Linked DNA regions of Saccharomyces cerevisiae S288C. The gene in region 3 interacts genetically with the main gene of each other region. Each region holds a gene or a part of one and is shown on either strand. Other genes may lie near its edges.

Region 1 (4,443 bases), on a different chromosome or scaffold from region 3:
TGGCACCGACGGATCTGATCATATCATAACCTGGTCCATCCTGGTAAAACGATACCAGGTCCTGGCCGTATGAGTAACGTACCAATTCATCTTCGGTGAAGATATCACAAACATCACTGTAGCCTCTAGCGTTCAATTCGTATGCACACCATGCAAACAAAGTGTTGGCGTCCTTTGAGGTCAAATTCAAACCCTTGTTTTCTTTGTTTAATCTCTTGGCAATGTCATCCAAGTATGTGGTATCGTATTTGTCCAAAATGTCATCGTTAGCATCTTCATCCCATCCTGGGCACGCATTACCAGCACTCAAAGTGTTTGCGCCGGCGGACATGGCTTCACTGACAGTCTGCAAGGAGATGTTGAATTGGTCACCTAAACCATCAATGAAATATTGAGCAGTGTCATGAACCCTTTCAGAACTAGCGGCGAAAATTGGGAAACTGGTTTGATTTTCGAACATGTAGCCATATTGCGCTAAAAACTCACGAGCATGTCTCTTAGCATCCATCTCACCAGTGTATGGATTCAAAACATTGTCTGAGTTGGCAAAAGTGGTTTCCATTTCCAAATCATCGTCATCACGGATGAAAAACTCGTAATCATCGTTCAAGAATGACAATGAGCCGTTGAATTGACGTGTGTAATTGCTCAACTTATACCATGTTTTCATGATGGTAGCACCTTTACTGTAAGTTGGGTATCTTTCACCATGTCTGGCAAGCATTTGCAATTGTTTCATTTCACAACCTTCAGGCAAGTCACGAGAAATACCATAGTCGCCAGGGAAAGAGAAGTATGGCCCGGCACCACCCAGGAATGGGAATATGTCTTCCTGAGTGCCAATTTTGGCAACATCGGCTAACTCTCCGAGGGGAATTGTACCTGCATTAACTAAAGCAGCGGCTAGAACCGAATAAACAACAGACTTAAACATAGGTAATTTGGAATGGCCCTTTCTTTACTGTAGTATTTTTTTTATGATAATCAAGGCATAATTGACTTCCATCCAGCAAATTTAAGCACTTATATATGTTGCATAGGACTACTCAAAGCTGTTTACTATTTCCCAAACTGGTATTATTTAGTAAATTTCTTTTGAATTTTTTTTTTTTCACTCTTCCTTTTTTTCATTTTTGCGATGCCAGTTCTTTGAGTTTCCCTTATACGGCATATGCACTTAAGGTTTGATTTTGCTAATTAAAGGCGTGCCTAAGCGGCGACTAATACTGTAATATAATATGGGTTCCTGACTGACTACAGGGATTGAAACATCCATTTACCTGTTTCGGATATCTCTGCAGATTTTAATCTTTCGGCAAAATTTAGATAAAAAATTTGGGTATTCGTATTTAGTTTCCAATATTATTTAGTTATACAAAACTATTGTCTCAATAGACTGGCGTTGTAATGAGTAGTGTTCCAGTCCCAGTAGAAGGTCAATTCAGTAGAGTTACTGACGCTGCTGACGTTACAGACCTTTAGGAAGTCAGTACCGGCTACTCTCTTTTCAGCATAGTCGTAGAAGTCATTGATTTCACAAGAGAACCCTGGACCAGTGGAACAGGTTTCAATTGGAACAACAGCATCGTTAATGACGTATCTGACGTAGGTGTCGTTAGAACATTGGAATTTTTCGGTGTAGACACGAGCACCTTGAGGAACGTACCAGGATCTGTGGAAAGTGTTGCCCATGAATGGAACGTATTCGGCAGTTAAGTTGTTTTTGTCGTCAATTATACCAGCGGTGGTCAAAAAGTTTAGGATATCGGTATCGTGGGTAAAACTCAACCAAACCTTTTGGTCTTGAATCTCACTTTGCTTTAATAATTTGACTGAGGCATTGAACAAGTTGGAACCGACAGACTTGATAATGTCGTAACCTGGACCCTCATGGTAATAAGTGTGCAAGTCTTGGTAGTAGGAGTAATGGACTAATTCATCCTTGGTGAAAATATCACAGACATCACTGTAACCTTTAGCGTTCACTTCAAATGCACACCACGAGAATAAAGTACTAGCGTCAGTTGAGGTCAAGTTCAAACCCTTGTTTTCCTTGTTCAATCTCTTGGCAATGTCATCCAAGTAGGTTGTGTCGTATTCATTTACAATGTCATCATTGGCATCGTAGTCCCAAGCAGGACATGAGTTACAAGCACTCAAAGTGTTGGCACCAGCGGATTCAGCTTCACTGACAGTCTGCAAGGTGATGTTGAATTGGTCACCTAAACCATCAATGAAATATTGAGCAGTGTCATGACATCTCTTAGAATTAGAGGTAAAAACGGCGAAACTGGTTTGGTTTTCGACCATGTAACCGTATTGAGCCAAGAAGTCACGAGCATGTCTCTTGGCGTTCATTTCACCAGTGTATGGGTTCAAAACATCGTCCGAGTTGGCAAAAGTGGTTTCCATTTCCAAATCATCGTCATCACGGATGAAAAACTCGTAATCATCGTTCAAGAATGACAATGAGCCGTTGAATTGACGAGTGTAATTGCTCAACTTATACCATGTACTCTTGATAGTCTTAGCCAGACTGACAGTAGGGTATCTTTCACCATGTCTACCAACCATTTGCAGTTGCTTCATTTCACAACCTTCAGGCAAATCACGAGAAATACCATAGTCGCCAGGGAAAGAGTAGTATGGTCCGGCACCACCCAAAAATGGGAAGATATCTTTTTGGGTACCAATCTTGTCGACATCGGCTAGTTTGCCTAAGGGAATGGTACCTGCATTGGCCAAAGAAGCGGCTAAAATTGAATAAACAACAGATTTAAACATTGGTAATCTCGAATTTGCTTGCTCTATTTGTTGTTGTTCTTATTCTCATGAGAGATGAAGCCATACTAACCTCGACTTAGCAAAACATCAGCGCTTATATACGTTTCATTTCGACAATTCAAAGATGTTTACCCTTATCCCAAATGGGTATATGCCTTGCCAAGTAAGGTGACCAATTTGATAATTTGGCATGTGCGATCTCTTCGAAAACAGGGACCAGAATCATAAATTTAGTCTGTGCTAGTCCCACGTGTGAGTGCCAAGGTTGTATCGATTCATTTAGAGATTGCCTATTCAATTAACTCTTTTAATCACTTTTACTTTTTTTGGCATTGTGCAGTTGCGTTCTATGCGAAAACGTGCTAATTTAATATATATTTCTTTGTGCAGACAAAGAAAAAGCGCTATGAACCTTTTACCTTCGTTTGAAGTTTATAGACGACGTCCGCTTACATGAGAAAACATTAAAGCAGCGCACATAAGATGACTTCCAAATACGTTGACATATTTGCGCATTCTTGTTGAATACAACTTTCGGATCCTTGTAATGCCGGTCTCCGGCGTCCTGTAAAGAGAGCGTGCGACACGCCGCTATTAGCGTGGGGACTGACATCAGGTCAACATTATTATTGTAGCGAGCTACTTTCGGTCAGTAAATAGAACATATGTAGAGATACAAGCGATTATTAGAAGGAGCGGACCTACAACAAAGTTGGGTCACGTTTCTCGCAATTATTACTTGGATGCCCTCCTAGCTAATGCCAATGTGCAGTAGTAACTTATCAGTCCGATGTGTAAAAAATAGAACTAATTTTTTGCGAAAAGATGGACAAAAACCATCTCTGGTCAATTTTCTCACTAAAGAGGGACGGAGTCTCTTGTTTTCTTCTATTAGTGCACAGGGAATGTTTTGATTTTCCCTTTTTTTTTCTTTCGCTTCTTCAACAGTGGTAAAAATAAAAATTATTGGCGATGGGATAACCAAGGAACATTGTATTTAGCAATTGAAAATTACGGTAAAGGCAGCCGCTCTGACTTGATCTCTGACATTAAAAATTCGGAAACAATAAATATTTCTTTTAAGATGCGGGTTTTAATAACTAACGATGATGGTCCCTTAAGTGATCAGTTTTCACCATACATTAGACCTTTTATTCAGCACATTAAAAGAAATTATCCTGAATGGAAAATCACGGTTTGTGTACCTCATGTCCAGAAATCATGGGTGGGTAAGGCTCATCTTGCTGGTAAAAATTTGACAGCTCAATTCATATATTCTAAAGTTGACGCTGAAGACAATACTTTTTGGGGCCCATTTATCCAGCCACAAATTAGGTCAGAAAACTCTAAATTACCTTATGTTCTCAATGCTGAAATTCCGAAAGATACAATTGAGTGGATATTAATCGATGGAACTCCAGCATCGTGCGCAAACATCGGGCTGCACCTATTGTCTAATGAACCGTTTGATCTAGTACTGTCGGGTCCAAATGTTGGTAGAAATACATCTGCTGCTTATATTACCTCTTCTGGTACCGTAGGAGGCGCAATGGAATCTGTTATTACTGGAAATACAAAGGCCATTGCTATTTCTTGGGCCTATTTTAATGGATTGAAAAACGTCTCCCCACTTTTAATGGAGAAGGCCTCTAAGAGATC
Region 2 (4,695 bases), on a different chromosome or scaffold from region 3:
TACTAGGTAAAATGTATAAGCCCACGAAACTGAGAAAAAGCCACCAAGATTCTCCGGTTAAATGTTCAGCAAAAAACTTCCAGCCGAAATTTTTACCAAATATCAAATGGAAAAAGTCTTCACTATTTATACTTTTTTTTTTTTTTATTTTTTCGTTTTTATTTTTCCGCTTTCTTCGAGAAAAAGAGATGCGCGGCGTGCCTGCGCGGCGGTTACGAAAACCAATAATTTTGAATAAAAGAAGCACTGTAGAGAACAGACACGGTAGGATATATACTCATATGGATGTTCTTATATAATATCGCGCTCAACCGATCATTTATATATTATGTGTCACTATATCATCCTACAACATCCGCTCTGTTAATTAATTGCCCTATTCTTTCACATCATAACCCTACTCTTGCATCATCTCTAAACGACATTTCATGTACTTGCCCTGGACGCTATCTTAAAACATTTTACCACCTCATGTAACCCGCATGTCATGTCTATGGTATAAAATCATGGCTTTGCATATGCCTTACACGTATATTCATACTATCTTCGTCTTGCTAAAGAATAATAAAGTAATTGCGTACTGTGCCTTTGTATTTCCCTCTTTGGACTGTGTTTGTTGTTCCAACTTGGTACTTCTCGCAAGCAAAAGTCAAAATAAGAAAAAAATTAGCATTCATATTTAGTTTCTAAAATTACATAAATCATATTAGGTCTATTTACTGTTTTAATAAAGTGTCGTTGTAGTGCTTGGTATTCCAGTCCCAGAAAAAGGTCAATTCAGTAGAGTTACTGACGCTGCTGACGTTACAGACCTTTAGGAAGTCAGTACCGGCTACTCTCTTTTCAGCATAGCCGTAGAAGTCATTTATTTCACAAGAGAACCCTGGACCAGTAGAACAGGTTTCAATTGGAACGACAGCATCGTTGATGACGTATCTAACATAGGTGTCATTGGAACACTGGAACTTTTCAGTGTAAACACGAGCACCTTGTGGAACGTACCAGGATCTGTGGAAAGTGTTTTCCATGAATGGAACATGTTCGGCGGTCAAGTTATTTTGGTCATCGATTATGCCGATAGTGGTCAAATAGTTCAGAATATCGGTATCGTGGGTGAAACTCAACCAAACCTTTTGGTCCTGGACCTCACTTTCCTTTAGTAGTTTCACTGAAGCGTTGAACAAGTTGGCACCGACGGATCTGACGACGTCATAGCCTGGTCCCGTTTGATAATAAGTTTCCAAGTCTTGGCCGTAGGAGAAACGGACCAATTCATCTTTGGTGAAGATGTTACAGATGTCACTGTAACCTCTAGCGTTTATTTCATATGCACACCATGCAAAAAAAGTGTTTGCATCACTTGAAGTCAGATTCAAACCCTTGTTTTCCTTGTTTAATCTCTTGGCAATACCACTCAAATATTTGGTATCATATTTTTTCAAAATGTCATCGTTGACATCATCGTCCCAAGCAGGACACGAATGGTGGGCACTCAGAGTATTGGCACCAGCAGACTCGGCTTCACTGATGGTTTGCAAGGATATGTTGAATTTATCACCCAAACCGTCAATGAAATACTGGGCAGTATCATGACATCTGTTCGAGTTAGACGTAAAAACGGCAAAACTGGTTTGGTTTTCGACCATGTAGCCATATTGCGCCAAGAAATCACGAGCGTGTCTCTTAGCATTCATCTCACCGGTATATGGGTTCAAAACATTGACCGAATTGGCAAGTGTGGTTTCCATTTCTAGGTTTTTGGTGTCACGAATGAAAAATTCGTAGTCATCGTTCAAGAAAGACAATGCTCCGCTGAATTGACCGGTATAGTTACTCAATTTGTACCACGTTGTCATGATACTTTTGGCTTTGCTGACAGTGGGGTATCTTTCACCGTGTCTACCAACCATTTGCACTTGCTTCATTTCACAACTTTCCGGCAAATCACGAGAAATACCATAATCACCAGGGAAAGAGTAGTATGGCCCAGAACCACCCAAAAATGGGAAAATTTCCGTTTGAGTTCCGATTTTGTCAATGTCAGATAACTTTCCGAGGGGTATGGTACCTGCATTAACCAAAGAAGCGGCTAAAATTGAATAAACGGCTGACTTCAACATTGGTATTTCTGATGATGTTCTTGCTCTCTTTGCTGTTGTTGTTCCTCTTCTTCTTCTTCTTCTTCCTACTTTACAACCAAGGCGAAACTGAGCTTGAATCTATCGAAATGTAAGAGCTTATATACGTTTTACTTGGCAATTCGACGCTGTTTATGCTCATTCCAAAACGGGTATAACATATCTGGTGAGATGACCAATTTGGCAATGTGACGTGCGGAATATGGAATCTCTCCGGTAAACAGGGTCTGAAATTCTGTGTAATTTGCCTTTTTAAACCCACGTGTGAACGCCAAGATTGTGCGGCTTCGTTTAGGGATGTGTTCTGTTTTCTATTAACTTTTTACTCTTTCCTTCCTATTTCCTTTTTTTTTTTTTTTTTTTAGTACACATGAACTACAGAATGTTATGCGAAAACGTGGTAATTTAATAAATACGTGACACAGCGTATAAGAAAAAGCTTATCAAGGTTATCTCTGTCATTAAAACTTTATTAGACACCCACGATGAATGAAACGATGAAAGTAGATATAAGAAGTAGTCGGAAGTGAGAAAGAGAAAATGATAAAAGAACGAAAAAATCCCTTTATTTTCTCATCTTGATGTATAAAATAACTACTATATATTTGTGGCTGAAATCATACCTTTCATTTTTCATCGGCTTAGATAATCTTGATTTTCTCACCTTAATACGCTTTTTTCAATGTCGTTTACAAAACAAGCTAGGTTTGCAAGATATCCTGGACTTTTTTTGTAATCTATGTGGCCACAGTATGGTTCGCACTTGCAACATGGTAGAGGCTGCCCAAAAACAAAACCGCATCACCTTTGGCAGCATTTACGTGAAACTCCATCCTCTTGTCAAACTTTGCACAGGAATCGTGTGGGCCCCACGAGTGTGAACCAGTAATTACATGTGCGGCTCTATTGGCATTGTTCATATCTGTAAAAGCAACTCCTGCTCCCAGTACCGTTTCTTTCCGTATTGGAAACGGTCACAGCACCGGTCTTGTAGACAATACCCGAGTTTAGCTAAATGTCACTTGGGCACTTTCTAATGACATTTCCAGCCAAAAGAAGTAATTTTGCTCATTTAAAAAAATAGTTTGCCATATCACAAAACAGTCGGTCGGATAATATCTCCTTCCAACAGTAGGAGAATGGAGGACCACACCCTTGTGGCCATCGTTGTTTTCTTTGGGAATGGTGAACCTTTCCATGTGTCGTTGTCTGTAGAAATGGTGTTCGTGCTGCTTCTTTCATCCACTAGAATTCATGAGGTAGTAGTTCTTATATGTTATAAACTTCAACACGCCACCTGGTCTTGGGGTAATATGAGCAAGAATTTCTCTCTTAAACCGGATATAAGTCTGAGCTTTCTGTTGGATATAATTTCTATAAATGATATATGCATCTACGGTTGCATTGCCCTTACAGTTGTGTTTATTTTATAAATCTACGTTTAGTATAAGAAAATTGTATTGTCGAGTCTTAGCTGAGTTCATATTTATTCAAAAAATTGGCCTAAATGTTATGTCTCTTTCTCGATCCATGAATTATTAGCAACACCGAGAATTGCAGCAGTGATGCTTCACATTAATGCATGTTCCTCCCTGTTGCCTTTTGGTAAAGTCATGGGCATATGATTACTCCGGGCGTCGCGCGGCTGAAGGCGTCTAAAATAAAATGTTCAAAAATGATATTAACTTTCTTATATATCTTAGACCTGCTATTTCTTTCTTCTTTTTTTTTTATTTTGTATTCAATTGGTTTTCACTTTCTCGAAACGCAAGGCTTAAATAAATCAAGGACAGATTCGATAGCTTCTTTTGGGACAGTCAGCTCTTCAGAGGTAATTGCATGACTTCATGATTCGCGGAATACGAAATGAAAAGGGAGGTCCGTTTGAGGTAACTCAGTTCTTTACGAATCACATGCAATATTCAGGGTAAAAATCCAAGTTATCTAATTTTTTTTAAACTACCTTTTTCTTTTGTACATCACGTTTCACTATATATTCTACTACATCTATTTTCGGCCCAAAACTACAGCATTTGCAGAAACAAAACGACGCTTTCTGTTCCTGCTGATAGTATTCATGACACATTCCATATTGCATGTTGCATTTAAAACGAAGGGCCAAGCCATGGTCATGTGATTTCCATGTGCGGCAACTTCAAGACTTCTTCTTTTGGGCATAGGAAGACATTAAAAATATTATTTATGCATTATTCTTATGTCGGCTAATAGATTCAAAGAAACCCACGAAAAATTTACCGACCGCGAGAAATAAAAGTAAATGAAAAAAAAAAAAAAAAAAAAAAAAAAAAAAAAAAAAAGAAGAATGTGTCTATCTTCATAATGGTGCCTTCGCTAAACCATCTTTTCTGACGCTTTATAGTTCGAACACAGCATTCTTCAACCGCGTAAAGTTAAAATCACTTGAATGTTTACACTGACGTTTTGTTGGAATAAAAATCCACTATCGTCTATCAACTAATAGTTATATTATCAATATATTATCATATACGGTGTTAAGATGATGACATAAGTTATGAGAAGCTGTCATCGAGGTTAG
Region 3 (4,910 bases):
CCAATTCCGCAGTATCCGCTTTATACTGCATCCGCATCTCTTTTCAATGCACAAGTGCTGCCATACTACTTAGATGAGGAGTCAAATTGGTCTACAAACAGCGACGAAATTGAAAAAGTAGTGCAAGATGCTTTGAAAAAACAGATCAGACCATCTGTGCTGATAGTTATTAATCCAGGTAACCCAACCGGTGCAGTTCTTTCTGAAGAAACCATTGCCAGGATCTGTTTGATCGCTGCGAAATACGGCATTACAATCATTTCTGATGAGGTCTATCAAGAAAACATTTTCAACGATGTTAAATTTCATTCGATGAAGAAAGTCCTAAGAAAATTGCAGCATCTTTATCCAGGAAAATTCGATAACGTTCAGCTCGCCTCTTTACACTCCATTTCTAAAGGATTCATGGATGAGTGCGGCCAAAGAGGCGGTTACATGGAAATTATTGGGTTTTCTCAAGAAATAAGAGATGCTCTTTTCAAACTCATGTCTATATCCATATGTTCTGTTGTCACAGGACAAGCTGTGGTTGATTTAATGGTCAAACCACCCCAGCCTGGAGACGAGTCCTATGAACAAGATCATGACGAAAGGCTGAAAATTTTTCATGAAATGCGTACGAGAGCAAACTTATTGTACGAGACGTTTAAGGAACTAGAGGGTATCGAATGCCAAAAACCTCAGGGTGCAATGTATCTTTTCCCTAGGCTTGTTTTACCTAAGAAAGCTCTTTGTGAAAGCGAACGCCTTGGCATCGAACCTGATGAGTTCTATTGCACATCTTTGCTAGAATCTACAGGTATTTGTACTGTCCCAGGGTCTGGGTTCGGACAAAGACCCGGGACTTATCATGTGCGAACAACGTTTTTGGCTCCAGGGACTAAATGGATTCAAGACTGGAAAGAATTTCATCAAGATTTCTTCAGCAAGTATCGTAATTGAATGAAAAAAAAAAACTAATGATAATGGCTTTCTATTTGTTTTGCATCCATGGTGGGGGTGAAGTTTAAATTTGTAATAGTATACATGCATCATTCTTTACTAAGGGAAATAAGGAAAAGTATATATCTGCCTCTTGTAATATTGTTCAAGGAAATAAATTTTGGAGCATTCCTCTGCATCTATTGTTCAATTAAAAAAAAAAAAAAAAAAAAAAAAAAAAAAAAAAAGTAATTATTCATATAAAACCACCTTGCGGGCAAGATCATATTATCCAAGTTGATACTTATTTAAAAATATAAAAATTTTTTAACCGCGTACATTAAATACAGGGTCATATACAGGAAGAGCTTTCAACACCTTTTTGAATACTTTATATGCAATAGGTGCTTTTTTTTTTCACCTATGGTGACTCCTCCTTTCATTCTATCCTACATATTATTACAATTCCATTGATGTGCCAAAGTCTCTTGTTTGATCTCCATTACCCTGTTGGTCTAATTTCTGTCGTTTTGTTGACGGCGATTCCAGAGTTTGATAGTAGGAAGTTTCTGGTCTAGTTATTTCGACACTTTGATCTACTTGTGATGCACCGTCACTTTCTTTTTGATCCCCTTTTTCAGGCTCTTCTGTTCCCTGCATTGGGGCTGCCACGCCGGTGGACTCTATTCGGTCCTCATCGACATTATGAGGAGGCTTTTCTTCGGGAGTTAAGGTATTAGGTTCAAATTCGCCCTCTGAAGAATCATGTGCCAAATCATCATACTCATCGATATAGTTTTTTTCAGTTAGATCAAATTGTTTTTGCACTTCTTCTTCAAAGTTATCATTTCCTATATTGTTATTATGAAGAATTCCATTATTGTTACAGCTATTATCCGCTTCATTAGCAAGGGCAAAAGTATTGACATCTTCCAAATATATAAGACCTTTTCCACCTGCCATCTTGAACATATTACGGGAATATGTGTTTTCTATAACCCTTTCTCTCTTAGTCTCAAACTTGGCATTGTGACCTGGAACTTCACTAAGTAGTACTTGCACAGGTTTACGTTTCGTTCTCTTATTTCTCCTTCGGTTGAATCTGTAAGGGCCATATCTTAGGCACTTACCCCAATCGGCTAGACATTCCTTCTTATAACTATTTAGAGCATACTGAATGCACAGTATACCCCCAGTATGAAATCTCGCAGAACTCTTCAAACCCAAGCCAATACGGAGACCGTATTTTGATGCAATTTCTTCACAAATATCATAAAGATCATCTTTATCTAAAGTGCTTGATGTTACGAAAATTGGAACCCTAGCAAATGTTAAAAAAAGTGAGGAAACAACTGGGATAAGATGTTTGAATTTGGTACTCTTAAGTGGTAATAACCACATAAAACTAGAGCGATAGTCTCGGCATAAAAGGACATAAGAATATTTTCCCTCAATAGCTTCTCCATTGAAGGGTTCGAATACCTCAATATGTATCCTTTCCATTGGTAGTAGTTTATCGTACATGTCAGGACGTTTATATTCCTTCAATGGTTTAATTTTGCCCTTTTTATTACATTTTGAACAAAATTGCTGGACCCAATCGATGATGGCATGACTAATATTGGCAAAATGAGAAAATAAAAAGGAATGTAATGTTTTACCCCTAAGATGCTTATTCATCAAGTGTGTTGCCATCACCATGTCGTATACATGCTTTGGCTCACAGTATATTTTATCATTATTTCGGCCATCTCTAACATTTCCTTCATCATCAACATAATACTGTCTTTGCAAAAATAACAGCTTGTTTTCTGCCACTACACCATCGTATTTATCACTTATTTGTTGCAAGGTATCTGCAGTTAAAGATTTTGTTTTTATTAGTTCATATATTTTCTGCGTTAGTTGTCTTGTCAGAGATTCAAGAAAGATTGGTGTTTCTCTTTCTCCCCTTTCCAATAATTCTAAGTTCAAATAAGAGTCTACGTACTCAGTATATGATTCCCCCATAGAGGGAAGTATCAGTAGACGATCTTTTGAGGACTCTCTTGATTCCCCAGGTGACGTTGCCTTTCTTCTCTGCGATTTCCTCGTAACTGATTCTGATGGTACCGAGTCATCATCATCAAACAACACGTCATTGTAACGCGGTTTCGTCATTGTTATCCTCAGCACAAATTCACACTCACACAATCGTTAAATTGTTCTCCCCCCTGAAGGCTTAATTCAATGTCGTTAAAATGAATACATGCGATGAGGAATCACCTCGCAATTTTTTTTTCTTTTCAATATATCGCGAAAAAGAAAAAATATCAGTATTATCATGTAAATAATTATGGCTGACACCTCATATTGAATGTGGGGGTAAAGATACTCTGGGTTTCTTGTTTTGATATATATAAGCTCTTCCTGGAAACCTCGATCACAATGTTAGGTATGATGAAGAAATTGAACCTTTATAACACCCGTTTGACTAAATGCTACAGACCAGTATTAGTAAATGTGGAAAGCTGCACACCCAGACCGCTGAGTACAATGAAAAGATGTAAAGAGACGAAGGAACAAACATCTGCAAAGTACATTATTAAGGCTATATGAAAAGCAGGAAACGCCAAAACAATATGCAAAATGAAACACGGGAGCCAGCGGTATTGTCGTCACAGGAAACCTCGATTTCTCGCATTTCTCCACAAGATCCAGAAGCAAAATTCTACGTTGGTGTAGATGTCGGAACAGGCTCTGCAAGGGCATGTGTTATCGATCAATCTGGTAACATGTTGTCGCTAGCAGAAAAACCCATAAAAAGGGAACAATTGATATCCAATTTTATTACTCAGTCTTCAAGAGAAATCTGGAATGCAGTTTGCTATTGTGTTAGAACTGTTGTTGAAGAATCAGGAGTTGACCCTGAAAGAGTTCGTGGAATTGGTTTTGATGCGACTTGTTCCTTAGTAGTCGTATCCGCTACCAATTTTGAAGAAATTGCAGTTGGACCGGATTTTACCAATAATGACCAGAATATCATATTATGGATGGACCATAGGGCGATGAAGGAGACTGAAGAAATCAACTCATCTGGTGATAAATGTTTAAAATATGTGGGAGGGCAAATGTCTGTTGAAATGGAAATTCCGAAGATTAAGTGGTTGAAGAACAACTTAGAAGCTGGAATTTTTCAGGATTGTAAGTTTTTTGACCTTCCGGATTACTTGACTTTCAAAGCCACGGGAAAAGAGAATAGGTCATTTTGTTCTGCTGTTTGTAAGCAGGGATTTCTACCAGTGGGTGTCGAAGGTTCCGATATAGGCTGGTCCAAAGAATTCTTAAATTCAATTGGGCTTTCAGAGCTTACGAAGAATGATTTTGAAAGACTGGGTGGATCGTTAAGGGAAAAAAAAAACTTTCTGACCGCAGGTGAATGTATCAGCCCGTTAGATAAAAAGGCTGCCTGTCAATTAGGCTTGACAGAGCATTGTGTAGTAAGTTCAGGAATTATTGATGCATATGCAGGCTGGGTAGGGACGGTAGCCGCCAAGCCGGAATCAGCAGTAAAAGGTCTTGCCGAGACCGAAAATTATAAAAAGGATTTCAATGGTGCAATTGGCAGATTGGCAGCTGTTGCCGGTACGTCTACGTGTCATATTTTGTTATCAAAAAACCCTATATTTGTCCATGGCGTTTGGGGGCCTTATAGAGATGTCCTTGCAAGAGGCTTTTGGGCGGCAGAAGGCGGCCAAAGCTGTACAGGCGTTCTTTTAGATCATTTAATAACGACGCATCCAGCTTTCACTGAGCTATCCCATATGGCTAATTTGGCAGGTGTGTCGAAATTCGAATATTTAAACAAAATACTTGAAACCTTGGTCGAGAAGCGCAAAGTAAGATCTGTTATTTCTTTAGCTAAGCACTTGTTTTTTTATGGTGACTATCACGGTAATCGATCACCGATAGCAGATCCGAATATGCGCGCTTGTATTATAGGACAATCT
Region 4 (4,386 bases), on a different chromosome or scaffold from region 3:
CTCATACCACGAACGAAACAGAGATAGTTAATCCCATGACGAACTTCAAAAATAAGACCAACGAAAACGATATGCCAATATTAGCAAATAAAAAGAGCTGCAACAACGATGATTCTTCCCCTTACACTGCATCATCCATGAACACTAATGACGTAAGCGAAGCTGGTACAGAAGGCCACCGGTTTTCATTATTCGGAAATAAAAGCCAATTGTCAAATAGGAACATATCTGGTGGAACAGCCACTTTGGAGTCATCAAATCCTGACCTGCCTACAGCCTTACCATTAAGCGTTCCGGTGACTATCATTGATAAAAATGGAGAGATACACAAGCTTCATAACGATGATGCAGCTATAAAAGATAAGTCGCATGACCGTCACGGTCACAGTAAATTCGGTAGGAAACTGAAAAAAATTTTTGGCAGGAAATGATTTGAAAGAAGAAAACATAGGAAACCTAAAATGAAATGTAAGGATATGATGCACTGCCACCGTAATTAAAATAGTTGGCTAGCGCTAGCTTTCTTTTCATTTAAAATTTAATAACTAGTTCGATCACGAATTAATCCAATCTAGTTATCTGAAAAGTGTATATAGAGTAGATAAAAAAAAGGTTTATTAATTATTACAAAAAATTATTATATTCTATAAATTATTGTGTGGCAAAATGAGAAGGGAAAAGTAATAAAAAAATAAAGACAAAGGTGAACTGTAAGGTGAAAAAATTATGCGAGTTTGTCCATTTTCGAGACTGCTTCAAGAGATTCACATAAGTAATCAACGTTCGAATCATTGACTCCGCTAAGCGACAATCTACCATCACCTGTTAAATAGACGAAGTAATTGTTTCTCAATATTTCGACTTGCTTTGGACTAAACCTTGTATAGTAAAACATACCGTGCTGTTGTGCGAAATTTACAAGATCCGGCCACCCTAGACGGTCAAACATCTCCTGTCTGACGTGATGCAATCTCTGAACCATGAAATCAACATCCTTGAACCATTGCTGTTTCAATTTGAAATCTGATAATACTACATTTACCACACGAGAACCGTATCCTGGTGGAGAAGAATACATACCTCTGACAATCTTTTTTAATTGGGAGTCAATATTTTGCTGCAATGAGTTTTTCTGTTGTAGAGGGTTGAACTTTCCATTGTTCGCAGTTGCCGGCGTGATAACGCTTAAGGAACCAACTCGTTCACCATAAAGGCCCATGTTCTTGGCAAAAGATTGACAAAGAAAGATACCGTTACTCCAATTTGGATATTTATTTACATTGAGACATAGCCTCAATAAATATGCGTCCTTTAGTAAGTTACCAGACTCTAAACCCTGATAAGCCATATCAACAATGGGTACCATTTTTAGCTCATATATAGTATCTATAATCTTTTCCCATTGCTCTTTAGTTGGGTCGAGACCTGTAGGGTTGTGACAACACGCATGCAAGATTATGCAAGGTGGGTTCTTATTGTTTTCTTGCTGGTTGTTATATGCAAAGGTTTTCAATTGCTCAATCCATCCGTCGATGTCTATCTGACCGTCCTTATAATAGGAATACCGGTAAATATTTTCAAAACCATTGTTCTGAAAAATGTTCTTATGATTTGCCCATGATGGGTCAGGTATCCAAATATCTCTTGAAATAAATAATGCCAAGAATTTAGCTGCTACAGCTAGGGCGCCTGTACCACTCAAAGTCTGAACAAAGCTGATTCTATCATGGGCTAAATAAAATGGCCCAAACTGCGGACATGATTCCTTGAACAAAAATTTCATAACGTTTTCCTGAAATTCTTTGGAACCTGTTATTGGTAAATATGAAAGATTCTTATTCAACTCTAAATGAGATTCAATCAATTTTTGAGCTTTTGCAACGGAGGGAAACGTCGTCACTTTGCCCCAACCATCTTTATATATTCCTACGGTCAGGTCAATTTTGTTAACATTTTTTACCTTTTTGAAGTGTTCAGATAACCCCAAGACTTTATCTGGAGGTGCTCTTGGTACTCTACTAAGCGATGACGTGTAGTAGGGCCTCCATAGACTGCAATTAGTAAGCCTCGTCCTCAACATCAAGTCTTTCGGCAGTGAAAAACGGATAGTAATTTTCAAATGAGAAGGGAAAACGCACTCAATAGTATGCTATCGTTCAATCCGCTATCGTCTATTCTGTATTTTTTTTTTCTTTTCAATTGCGACGGTTAGCAATTAGATAACCAAGACAGAGAGAGCGAATACTTGCTAGCAATTTATATACGTAAGCGAAAAATGTAAAAAAAAATATGAAAAATGCGGCATCCTAAATATTGGAGCAAAGCAGAATAGTGCTTCCATACTCCAAGATGCCATTTCCGTCGATATTACATCTGACAATAGGAAGATATGCGAGCTATGACTCCAACAATCACATGAGACGGCGTGCAAAACTCATGGAAGCCATCTTCCGCATCCGAACAATATGAATCATCGACGATGGTCGCATGCAAACGCCCTTTAAAAAGTGAAATATTTAAATATAAACCAATTAGTTACAGCAAGTCATTCGTTACTGGAAGTGAAAGGACTTTGATTACGCAAGGCCTTTTCAACTAGAAGTTCCGAATTTTCCATAAACTTCTCAACAACATCTTTGGTCAAACCAGGCGAAGGTAAAATAGCATCGCCTTTGTTGCTGAACATTGTACCACTGCGTGATTCGATAGCGGGGCTCGCAATCAGGGTGCATATTGTTTTCGCATACGTCTCTGCGCTTTGACAGGTCCAGCTGATTATCCATTCTGTAATGCGGCTGAGGTAGGTGTCACTGCCAAGAAGATTATTACGAATGTTCGTTTTGATCAGCCCAGGGTTCAAACCGAAAGTATCTATATTCGTGTATCTGTCTTTAGCGTCTATGACCAGACTTTCATTGGCTGCCACAGTGTTCATATGTGTAGCGTAGGCACTATACTTCTTTTCATCAGAATTCAAGTCATCTGGGTCTCCCACCTGACCATTTCCTGGAAACCCTGCTATGAAAACTTTTGGCAAATCGTCTTTTTTTGTCCTACTAATTCCTAATCGCTTCGCCACATCATGGAAGATAATGTATCTACTCAAATAGCTCACTGCCATGTCTTTTTCCAAACCCTCACTTGTAGCTTGTCTCTGGCGTGATGCAAAAATACCCGTAGTGAAAATCAGATGTGTTAACTCCTCGTAGGGAATTTCATCACTATGAGATATACGCTTGCATTCTGACACTAAACTTAAATCAGCCTTGACAAAGTTAATTTTATCTTTTAGGTCCTCGTCCCTAAAAGTTTGCCCGACAACAGTAACCCTGGCATTTCTTTGGGCCAGCTCTCTACTTATTGCACGTCCAAGTCCACCTGTGCCACCAATTATGGCCACATTAAAACGACTAAAATCAATGTCATTGATATTTTTTCTTTCCCAACTGACGGTGGGATCCTTTTTCCAGAACATCCTGCTAAATGCGCCAATATACTATTATTAGTTTTTCCTTGATACGTGGTAATATTCTGTTTGTTGGTTCACCTTTTCATTCACTTGAATTGTTTTAAATTTTGTATTTATACCTCTGCCGATTATTCCTCCCCTAATTGATGATTGCAGATTATGTAATATATATACATATATGGACGAGGCCCCTAATTGAACAACAAAAATAAAAAGTGTAAAAACATGCTAGTCTCTATATTGATAAAAATACGTATGATGTCCATATAAACTATACGTCATGCAGCTGAAGGAATCTAACTGAATACTTAATAGGTTTCTATAAATTACAAATGTTTGTATTATTTACGCCATCACGCTCACCTTCTTCCCCATCGTCCATTAGAGAATCGGTTTTTCTTTGGCAGTTTTAGTCTTCTGAAGTTATTGCTCACTAGATTATACTTCTTTCTACCCTTTCGCTTAGCCGTAGGCTTTTGCTCTGAGCTTACAACGCCGCTGCTTGCCTCCGGATCATGTTCAAATTCAGTATCAGAGATTTGTGAGGTGGATCCCAAAAATTCTGCCACTTTCCTTCTTTTGAGTTTCACCAGCTCCTTATGGACATCTCTCTCAAAACCTGCGGTCTCGGTTTCTGGATCATTGTCTCGTAATCTTCTGATAACCTTTCTTCTTTTGGGTCTCTTTCTTATGAAGGTATCTTCCCTTGCTTGGCTATCATCATTATCATCATCCTCTTGAAATATGTCCTTCACAACTTTTGGTCTAATTAGTTCATCTTCTAGCCCAAAGTCGTCTTCGTGGTTTTTCTCATCGTAACCATTCTCGCCTTCTTCTCCTTCCTCTTCCTCTTCAATATCTTCTTCCTGTAAGACACCAAATTCTTTTACAATTTCAGTATGTTCCCTGGCCAATTC

The links.
Region 1: of FOB1 (region 3) and PHO5, changing one suppresses a phenotype caused by changing the other (phenotypic suppression), as found in Saccharomyces cerevisiae (one study listed by BioGRID).
Region 2: of FOB1 (region 3) and PHO12, changing one suppresses a phenotype caused by changing the other (phenotypic suppression), as found in Saccharomyces cerevisiae (one study listed by BioGRID).
Region 4: of FOB1 (region 3) and AAT1, changing one suppresses a phenotype caused by changing the other (phenotypic suppression), as found in Saccharomyces cerevisiae (one study listed by BioGRID).

The regions. Positions count from the first base shown.
Region 1 is NC_001134.8:428,168-432,610, forward strand, and holds PHO5 (acid phosphatase PHO5), read right to left. Parts: upstream 2,785-4,443; coding exon 1,381-2,784; downstream 1-1,380. Other genes in the region: acid phosphatase PHO3, read right to left, coding at 1-934; PBY1 (putative tubulin tyrosine ligase), read left to right, coding at 3,869-4,443. UniProt on the Saccharomyces cerevisiae protein: Partially mediates extracellular nucleotide derived phosphate hydrolysis along with NPP1 and NPP2.
Region 2 is NC_001140.6:549,524-554,218, reverse strand, and holds PHO12 (acid phosphatase PHO12), read right to left. Parts: upstream 2,121-4,695; coding exon 717-2,120; downstream 1-716. Other genes in the region: YHR214C-E (uncharacterized protein), read left to right, coding at 2,720-3,019; YHR214C-D (uncharacterized protein), read left to right, coding at 3,278-3,571.
Region 3 is NC_001136.10:674,273-679,182, reverse strand, and holds FOB1 (replication fork barrier binding protein FOB1), read right to left. Parts: upstream 3,082-4,910; coding exon 1,381-3,081; downstream 1-1,380. Other genes in the region: alanine transaminase ALT2, read left to right, coding at 1-942; YDR109C (putative phosphotransferase), read left to right, coding at 3,516-4,910.
Region 4 is NC_001143.9:235,230-239,615, reverse strand, and holds AAT1 (aspartate transaminase AAT1), read right to left. Parts: upstream 2,081-4,386; coding exon 725-2,080; downstream 1-724. Other genes in the region: SEG2 (Seg2p), read left to right, coding at 1-431; YKL106C-A (uncharacterized protein), read left to right, coding at 2,350-2,469; YKL107W (putative short-chain dehydrogenase/reductase), read right to left, coding at 2,546-3,475; SLD2 (Sld2p), read right to left, coding at 3,829-4,386. UniProt on the Saccharomyces cerevisiae protein: Plays a key role in amino acid metabolism. Important for metabolite exchange between mitochondria and cytosol.